Linked DNA regions of Xenopus tropicalis. The protein of the gene in region 1 interacts with the protein of each later gene in a pairwise test. Links are inferred from orthologs where the notes say so. Each region holds a gene or a part of one and is shown on either strand. Other genes may lie near its edges.

The links.
Region 2: the proteins of atf4 (region 1) and ccdc106 interact in binary tests that used the Homo sapiens proteins (3 or more experiments, as listed by UniProt). The link is inferred for Xenopus tropicalis from reciprocal best matches to the Homo sapiens genes ATF4 and CCDC106.

Annotation. Positions count from the first base shown.
Region 1 is NC_030680.2:121,049,487-121,053,543, forward strand, and holds atf4 (cyclic AMP-dependent transcription factor ATF-4), read left to right. Parts: upstream 1-1,245; 5' UTR 1,246-1,499; intron 1,500-2,567; 5' UTR 2,568-2,680; coding exon 2,681-2,867; intron 2,868-3,091; coding exon 3,092-3,915; 3' UTR 3,916-4,005; downstream 4,006-4,057. UniProt on the Homo sapiens protein: Transcription factor that binds the cAMP response element (CRE) (consensus: 5'-GTGACGT[AC][AG]-3') and displays two biological functions, as regulator of metabolic and redox processes under normal cellular conditions, and as master transcription factor during integrated stress response (ISR).
Region 2 is NC_030683.2:104,010,852-104,015,139, forward strand, and holds the start of ccdc106 (coiled-coil domain-containing protein 106), read left to right. Parts: upstream 1-1,467; 5' UTR 1,468-2,536; intron 2,537-3,129; exon of another isoform or gene 3,130-3,254; 5' UTR 3,255-3,298; coding exon 3,299-3,326; intron 3,327-3,688; coding exon 3,689-3,796; intron 3,797-4,288. UniProt on the Homo sapiens protein: Promotes the degradation of p53/TP53 protein and inhibits its transactivity.

The DNA of each region.
Region 1 (4,057 bases):
CTTCATACTCCTTTAAAACACCAAATGGCTCCCACTTAATTTGTAATGTTACAGGGGCTGACTTTACAACGAACATGTGGGCTCAGGAATGCTCCAACAACAGATGCTCTTTATAGTGTATACACTTTACTTCAGCGAAGCTACAAAACGAGCAGGAAGAGACAAATATGGCAGCGCCAGGACACGCTCCCAAGTTCCCATCAGCGATTCTCCTCACATTCCAGCGCCGGCGCCCCGCCCATCCGCCTCACTCTGGTGCAGCAGCTTTGCGTGCCCACTGCGTGATTCAGAGGGCTCATTCGCTTTCAGCCAATAGCGCGGCGTGTAGGGATTGGGCGCTGCCTGGGCCAACCAATCAACGGCAGCTGTACACGCGTTGGCTTCGTGATATGAAAGCGTCTCTGGGCGGATTCACCATTTGGTGGCAGGGCGGGCAGAGTGGGGGGGGATAATGTGGGAGTGGGACGTGGGTTTGTTTCCATAACAGTGGGGAGGGGCAATGCCAGGAACACGCGTGACACACCAAATGAATTAATTAAAACTAGCGCGCCCTTTTCGTTTATGTCTATAATGCTTAATTAGCCAATATAAATAAAGTGAAAAAGTGGTGTCAGGAGTTTTATTTCTTGGTTACTTCGGGGGAACGCCATAATATTTGCCCCAAGTGCTTATTATCCGTATTGGTGGTATTTACCCCTTGCCTCTTTCATAGACTGTGGCAAAGCAGGGGGTGTTGATAAAATGTTATATTTAACGTATAATAAAAATCTATCAGGCCTGTTCGTCTGTCTATCGCCAGTCACTCAAACATGGATTATTATACTAATGACCGAAATGGTTTTCATTTGTATCGGGCGACTGACACTACTTTCTACGTCGGTGACACTGACACATTGTCCTCTTTGAAGTACAATGTCTGGGTCTTGCCCTGGCCTGGCGTACGCAGAAATTCGTACAAGAGCACTACAGTGTATCAAACAATGAACTAAAATATTGCCTTCGTTTACTCTAATAAACACCACGCACACATTTATTCCGCGATGAATCTTATTCTGTTAGAACCCTATTGATCCATTTATAATTGCATTACACAGTATAGTTCCTGGAGCGGAGGCACACGTTGCCGTCAGATCACATGTCAGAGCGACGCTACAAAAGAAGAGACTACAGAGCGGACGGATACACGGGGCGGAACCACGAGTCTATATAAAGGGGCGGTAAATCGCCCGCCACGTCAGTCTGCAGCTTGGAATGAAAGAGGGAACGTAGTTTGCTGTCGCTGGGTCTTTTTTGTTAACTAAATACTAAGGTTTGAGGACGCGACGCTTCTGCTGTAGCAGGTTCCAACAGTGATTTCTTCAGTCCGGCGCCGCAATAACCAGCGGACAGCCATGGCGCTATAGCGGCAGCACAGGCCTGCGGCTCCCCTCTCCCCCGGCCATAGCGAGGCAGCAGCTCCCAGCGGCGCCCGCAGCACCAGGCAACGGCACAGCCATGGCGTAAGTATCCCTACTGGGTCATGTACTACATGGCGAGGTGTTAAGTGTGTGTGTGTGGGGGGTGGGAAATTGCTTGAAATGCAGGAGTATTAATATAAAACGGGGCAGGAAGGAATGTCTGGGGTAATGTAGCGGTAGATCGAACGTAAATGTTCTTATGTGTCTTGCCATGTGGCTCTTGTCCTTGGCAGACTCGACTCTGGCGCCCCCTAGGGTACGATGTATGTACAGCAGGTAGACAATAGCTATCAGCCATATTGTGCGGCTGCTGGAGTGACAATTATCAGTATATACATCTCATTCATTAGGGCCACAAAGGGACCTTTGGGTTTTCTTACAAATGCAGATTTCCTGAACTTGCATCTTGTGTTTACGGTTTAAATTATTGAAGCTATTAACTTGCTGCTTTTGTAACCTGGGTGGTGTCCATAGGGTTAAACGAATTCCACTAGGAATTGTAGCTATTGCCTTAATCAGTTTGTTGAATGGGGGACTCTCTAAAATGTTTCAATGTCACAGTGGGTTTGATCTCCTTTAGTGGTATTTCTAGCTCCTGTGTGGCTTGGGAATTCTTAATGGGTGTGCTTTGAAATGAGACTCTCCCCAGGCAGATTTAGACTTGCTCTCTAGAGACAGCTGTTTCCCTTGTATGCATAGGGGAATCTCTCATAACAGCGCTCCAGATGGCATTGAAAATTAGTAATGTATTTTCAGTTAGTGTTGTGCTTAACAATAAAATGTAGCATTCAACAATGATCTTATGTGAGGAAGGTGACTTCATTTGTTTAGGACATGGTTTGGATGGTTTAGCAATTTGTATTTAAAGGGGTTTGATGCTAAAATGGCATCCATACCAGGGTGGAGAACAAACCAGATGGTTAACTTGTGAAATGGCTGCTGATCAGCTTTGTGAATCACCGGGTGTGGGTGGGGCCGGAGGGAAGGTGCCCATATTTGGTCATGAGGGAAGAGAAGACTAGAATATAATACTGCTCTTGTGAAGAAGCATTGTGAAGAACAAGCATGTTTTTCTTAATAATGTTCTTAATATTTGCTTTTATTATGCAGGCTTCTCCAGGCATCCCACAGCAGCATTGCTGTATACGAGGAAGAAAGCTCAAAATTGTCATCACCAGTCGAATTCGTGATCCTACAGAAAGATGAGTTTGTTAAGCGACGAGATGCTGTTGGGGGACCTTCTGTCCCCCTTCAACCAGTCGTTTTTGGCGGCTGAAAAGAGTTTGGGTCTCTTGGAGGATGAATTTGAGGTGCCCGGGTACCTCCTATCGCAAGGGTTCTCCAGCGACAAGGCTAAGGATGGCGTCTCTGACCTGCTGCCTTATGTTGAATCTTTAGGCAGTTTTCATGGTAAGTAAACTGGCTTTCAAAGGGTTCAGTCTCTCTTCTGTATAATAGAATATTCATGTATTTTGCTTGAAGCACCTCTTTGCAGCCACATTACTGGAATAGATTTGTTAAAATATTTGTTCAATGGCTAATGGGCATTTTAAGTGGAAAGATTGTAAAACTTAGCTTATGAGATGATAGAAATTTGTTGCTTTGCTTTCTGAGCCTTCTTTGTTCTTTATTAGGGGACGCCTTCTCCGGCATGGATTGGATGGTGGAAAAGATGGATCTGAAGGAATTTGATTTAGACTCCCTGTTTGGGTTGGAAGATCTGGAATCCACTATCTCACCAGATGAGCTAACATCCACGTTGGAAGACTCATGTGATTTCCTAGAGGACCCACCTCATGCAGCAGTGATTGGCCACTTTGTGCCATCACCTGAACCTGTCTCTCTTCCAGAGTCCCCACTGGATGCTGATCAGGTTGCCCCATTTAGCCCAGATTTGACAGCCTCTCTCTCCTCTAGCCCAGACCATTCCTTCATCTTGGATGTAGGTAGTGAGGTAGATGTTGCAGAGGATGAGAAAAAGTCCTCTGCAACATATACTCTAGAGATACTTAAATGTGAGAAGGAAGATTCCTCTGATAATGATAGTGGAATCAGCATGAGCCCCTCCTACTTGGAATCCCCTCAGCAGAGTCCATCAACTGTAGAATGCTATAGTAGTCCTCAGTCCTCCCTAGAGTCCCCAGTCTCTGAGAGACCCAAACCTTATGATCTTCCCTGTAAGGATAGAGATGTGATGGCGAAGGTGAAAGTAGCTGGAGGGCAGCCCAGAGTAGACAAGAAGAAAAAGAAAATGGAGCAGAACAAAACAGCAGCCACTCGCTACAGACAGAAGAAAAGAGCAGAGCAAGAGTTAATATCTGGAGAGTGCAGAGAACTAGAGGGAAAAAATGATACCCTTAGAGAAAAAGTAGATTCGTTAACAAAAGAGATCCAGTATTTGAAAGATCTGATAGCTGAAGTCCGACAGGCCAAAAGCAAACGAGCAAAAAGTTCTTGAATAGGGAACAAAGCTGGAGCGTGTGTATGTTGTATATAGGTCACTTAAGAATGTTGTGGAATGTCTACTTAATAAATTATTTTGTAGTTACTTTTTTGTCGGATTTCTTTATTTGTGCAGTATAAATTAGCTTGGGTTTTCA
Region 2 (4,288 bases), on another chromosome or scaffold:
AACCCCCGGTCCTAAGCATTCTGGATAACAGGGCAAACAGTAATACACACTACAGGACTAATGCAAAAATATTGGTCCAGATGTTAGTCTTACTGTGAGGTTTGATATAATATCCTATATTCTTATATCGATATAATCTTATATTTATATATGCATGTATTTTTCTAACTTTGATACACTTTGATGCTTAGCATATCATACTCCATTTTAGAAATGTATCTCCATTTTGTAACAGCAACCAGCAAGGCTTGAACATCCCATAATAGTTGTTTTTCCCAAATAGTACTCTTGCACAGCTTGCACCTTACAAAATATGAGCCTTGAAAAACAACTTAATGTTATCTATGCACTGACACCTTTTCTACTCCTTGTGTCCTCCTTGTCCCGTATTAGCCATCCTTGAAGGCCATCTCTGAAGATAATGAAATAGGCCATCTTTGTTTCAAAGCTAATGTTACAATGATTTCTTTGTATTTGCACGTACACAAGGGGTATAAGAACTATGAGCACGTAAGAATAAACTGGACAAGTTTGAACTTCCATTGGAGTTGTGTCGTTCTTGTCCCTGTATACGTCTTTGTCCTGGCAGGAGGTCTCCCATGGATTACTAAATTTACAGTCTGTGGTCAGGAACCCTTACACTTACACCAGTGACCATCCTCAGGGAAGCAAACTCACAAGCTGCGTTTTGGCAGTTATGGTAGTGCACCTCCTAAAATGTATATGTATAATTCCAAAAGAGGACCAGCACTACTTTTAATTCTAATTGTAATTATTTATTTGTGTATATGCACATATATATATATAACCCTGGTTTTGTTGCCAGCTTTCATGGAAAAAAATACTGCCTTCTTATTAGTTATCTTCTGATACTGCCCATAATATTGACAACAAGCATCCGTTTTTCCAATTTTGAATATTTATTGAAGTTCTCCATTAAACAGAACAGAAGAATAAACAAGCAAGATTTAAAGCTGTTTATCATTTGTCTTAGACATTCTAAAGCATTAAAAGATATGGAAAATTTAAAGGAAAGGAAACCCACACAAGCATGGGGCGAATATATCTGTATTCAGGAGTCTGAAGATTTTAGCTGAGTCTTATTTCAGTGGTTAAACATGTAAATTTAATAGTTGACTCTGCTGTCTTAAGGTTGGCTACAGGTAACCCCATGAATTTTATAATTGCTAAAAATATGTTGAGGGTTTTTTTACATACTTGCTAGTCTTTTGCACCAAGTATGAGGTTCTACACTTGGGGGCAAATGTGAGTTTAGAGCTTAATACATAAAAACTCACCCTTATTTTATTTATTTCTATGGGATTTTTAGAAGTGTATCAATGGTTGAACTCTAACTTTCACTAAATGATAAATATGTTTCCAAAAATTCCCATAGAAATTAATAGAAAGTGGGTTTTTCTGTGGTAAGCTCTAATCTCACATTTTGATAAATCTGCCCCTAGGTCTATATTTGTGCCTGAGTGTGATGTTATTTGGCACACAGGAAGTAAAGGCACAAACCGACCATCTCTCACTTCTGGCATTACAGAGCACCGTAGGGGGTTTGGTAGAGTAGCTACTGTGTGAAGCTGACCAGACATGGACATTGTTGCAGAATGTTGTCAGCGTGTGTTTGGGCCTTTTATTTAAGTGGCTTGGCTTGCTACAGGGTGACTGTACCTTTCTGATCCAATGACTTCACTCTTACAGGGCAAATGATTCTTCTTTTTTATTCTGGGACAGACACATGGACTGTGGCAGTTGCTGGTGATTCAGTGTTGTTTTTCATGCAGATCGTACAAGACCATGAGACAATCATAAGTTCTAGAATCAGGTTTGAAACCATACCTGGCTGCAGCTCAACCTCTATATTACCCCCCCCCTCCCCCCAATAACCCATTGCTCCCTCCCTGTTCCCACTCCTTGTTCTGTAGCAAAGGCTAGAGGATTCTTTTGTCCAAAGGAAAGGGGGGCCCACAACCTAAATGGTCTTTATTTAAACTAAGAGTTTTTTTGAAGGGGCTCCCTTTCAGCCTGGCTGGCTGCAGAATCACATTGTGTGAGCCTGTTAAGGCTGTTAGATACAAACAGTAGCTTGATGTCCATGTTCTCCTGAGAGGTTGTACGGATATATAATAAGAATTTCCAGGTTCTGGTGGGTGAGATTTTTGCTGTTGCCCTTGCCATCATTTTCCTGCTGGAGCAGAGCAGCATTGTGGTACCCAGGCTTATCCTGCAGCTTCCTTACATAGAGGGCAAAGCACCCTGGCAAGATCTGCCTGCTGTAGAGCTGCCTGTCAGCTGCTGGTTCCCAGAGCCAAACGGAGAAGTAACACGGAACATAATTTCCCCTCCGGTGCTGAATTGCTGAAGGAGACACAGAACGAAATGTGGGGGGAAGGGAAAGAAGCCATTTTAATTGCATTATCTCATCTGATCGCTGTGCTTAATTTCCCACTTCCTAGGCTTCCGCTCTGATGTTACATGGAAAACTAGTTATATGCTGGATTCCTCTACAACATCGCTGGCTCATCGGGTGAGTTCCTGTGTGGCATCAGATCAGATGCTGAGAAATAACAGTGTTGTAGTAATATTATTATTACTGCCTCTTAGGATGATTTGGTGCTGTTTCAGAAATGAAGGCAATCCAGATCTTTCCTTCATATGAAGAAGTGGCATGACAAAAATAATTGTACATCAATTATATTTGATCTCTTAAACTCCTGCTAACTTTATGTAGTTATGTGTGGCAGTGACAGCTGCCTTTTAAGAGGGGTTACTTTAGAGGTATATATATGGGGCAACATTCATATTGGTGCCCTGCAGAGCAGCAATTTTATGCAGTGTTGCTTTGGGCCCCCATAAATTCAACCAGGGGTGTAACCACAATGACAGAAGGCCAGAATTGTAAAGAGCCTGATCGGAATTGGTTTTGGGCATGAGGGTTTAAAAGAATAAAAACACAATTCTAAGAAAAACCCCACTTATGGCTCTTGTTGAACCTAGTTATATACTGCCATATATATTGCCATTTTGGTGAAATTGTATCATTTTAATTCCAAGCATTCCTACCTTTTTTATGTGCCCTTAGTGATGTTACACTGACTTGCACCAAAATCAGCATTTAATTGCACAATGTTGAATTGCATCTACGTTACTGCTACAGAGTAAGCATGGTCTCTTGGCATCTGAAACTGCTTAGTATGTGCTTTTTATTCCTTGTAGTTTTTAATCTGATCCAGGCAAAATTGCAGGTGACTCACTTTCTTTGAACTACACTGATACCGAGAATTAACCAATGGCTGTTAACAATCACCGGAGACGAAGTAAGTAGCGTCAGAAAATGCAAATATCAAGAGTTCCAATCATGGAACTGAATGGCACTCACTGAGGCTAATGTACTATTAATGGACAGTGCTGTACCAGTGCATCAACTCATAGCAATCATTCACCACTTGGGCCTTAAATAACAAAAAAAGTAACTAATTACTGCAGACAGAATAAGGAATATATACCTGTGATTAATTGCAATGGGTGACTGCATAGGTAAATAGGCCCAGTGTTAGTAAATGTGTCTTACTGTGTAAATCTCTTTTAGATAATACCCATATGAAACATCACCACTGATATTTTAAAAATAGAATTACAGGTATCTGCAATTCTCATAGATTACTGACTTTTATTACAGCCAAAAAGGGAGGTGAGACTTACGATAGCTCAATCCCTTTTGAAGAGAATCTGCGCAGAGAATGTCTATCTTTATACTGTCTCGGTTCCCAGCAGAATAACTCAGAAGGTAAGCGATGTCTAGCAGTGCCCTACTTTATGTGTGATTAGCTTCTGTAATATCCTAAGTACTTGATGTTGCTCATTTCAAATAAGTCAAATCAATAGAGAGATCCAATCAAAGCCCCAGCTCATTACTATCAAAGAGAATCCCATAGCAAGAAGCAGGGGATTTGTCTGTTAGAACACTGGAGCTGCGGCTTTGTCTGCCCCATGTTTAATTGGTCTAGGGCTTGCATTAAAAGAAGTGGTGGATCCATAGGGGACTGCCACATTTGAGAACTACTGTTCTAGAATCCCCTTGTTTGAGCCTATAGAGCAAGGAGACATGGTGGCTAGTGCTGCTGCTTTGCAGTGCTGGGGTCATACATTTGATTCTGGGTGTTGTTTGTGTGTATTTTATTCCCATATTCCAAAACATACAGACATGTTAGTTGGCTGTAAACTGAGCATAGCTGGTGCATAGAAGGGCCCTTAGACTGCTTAGCAGTTGCCAGACTGG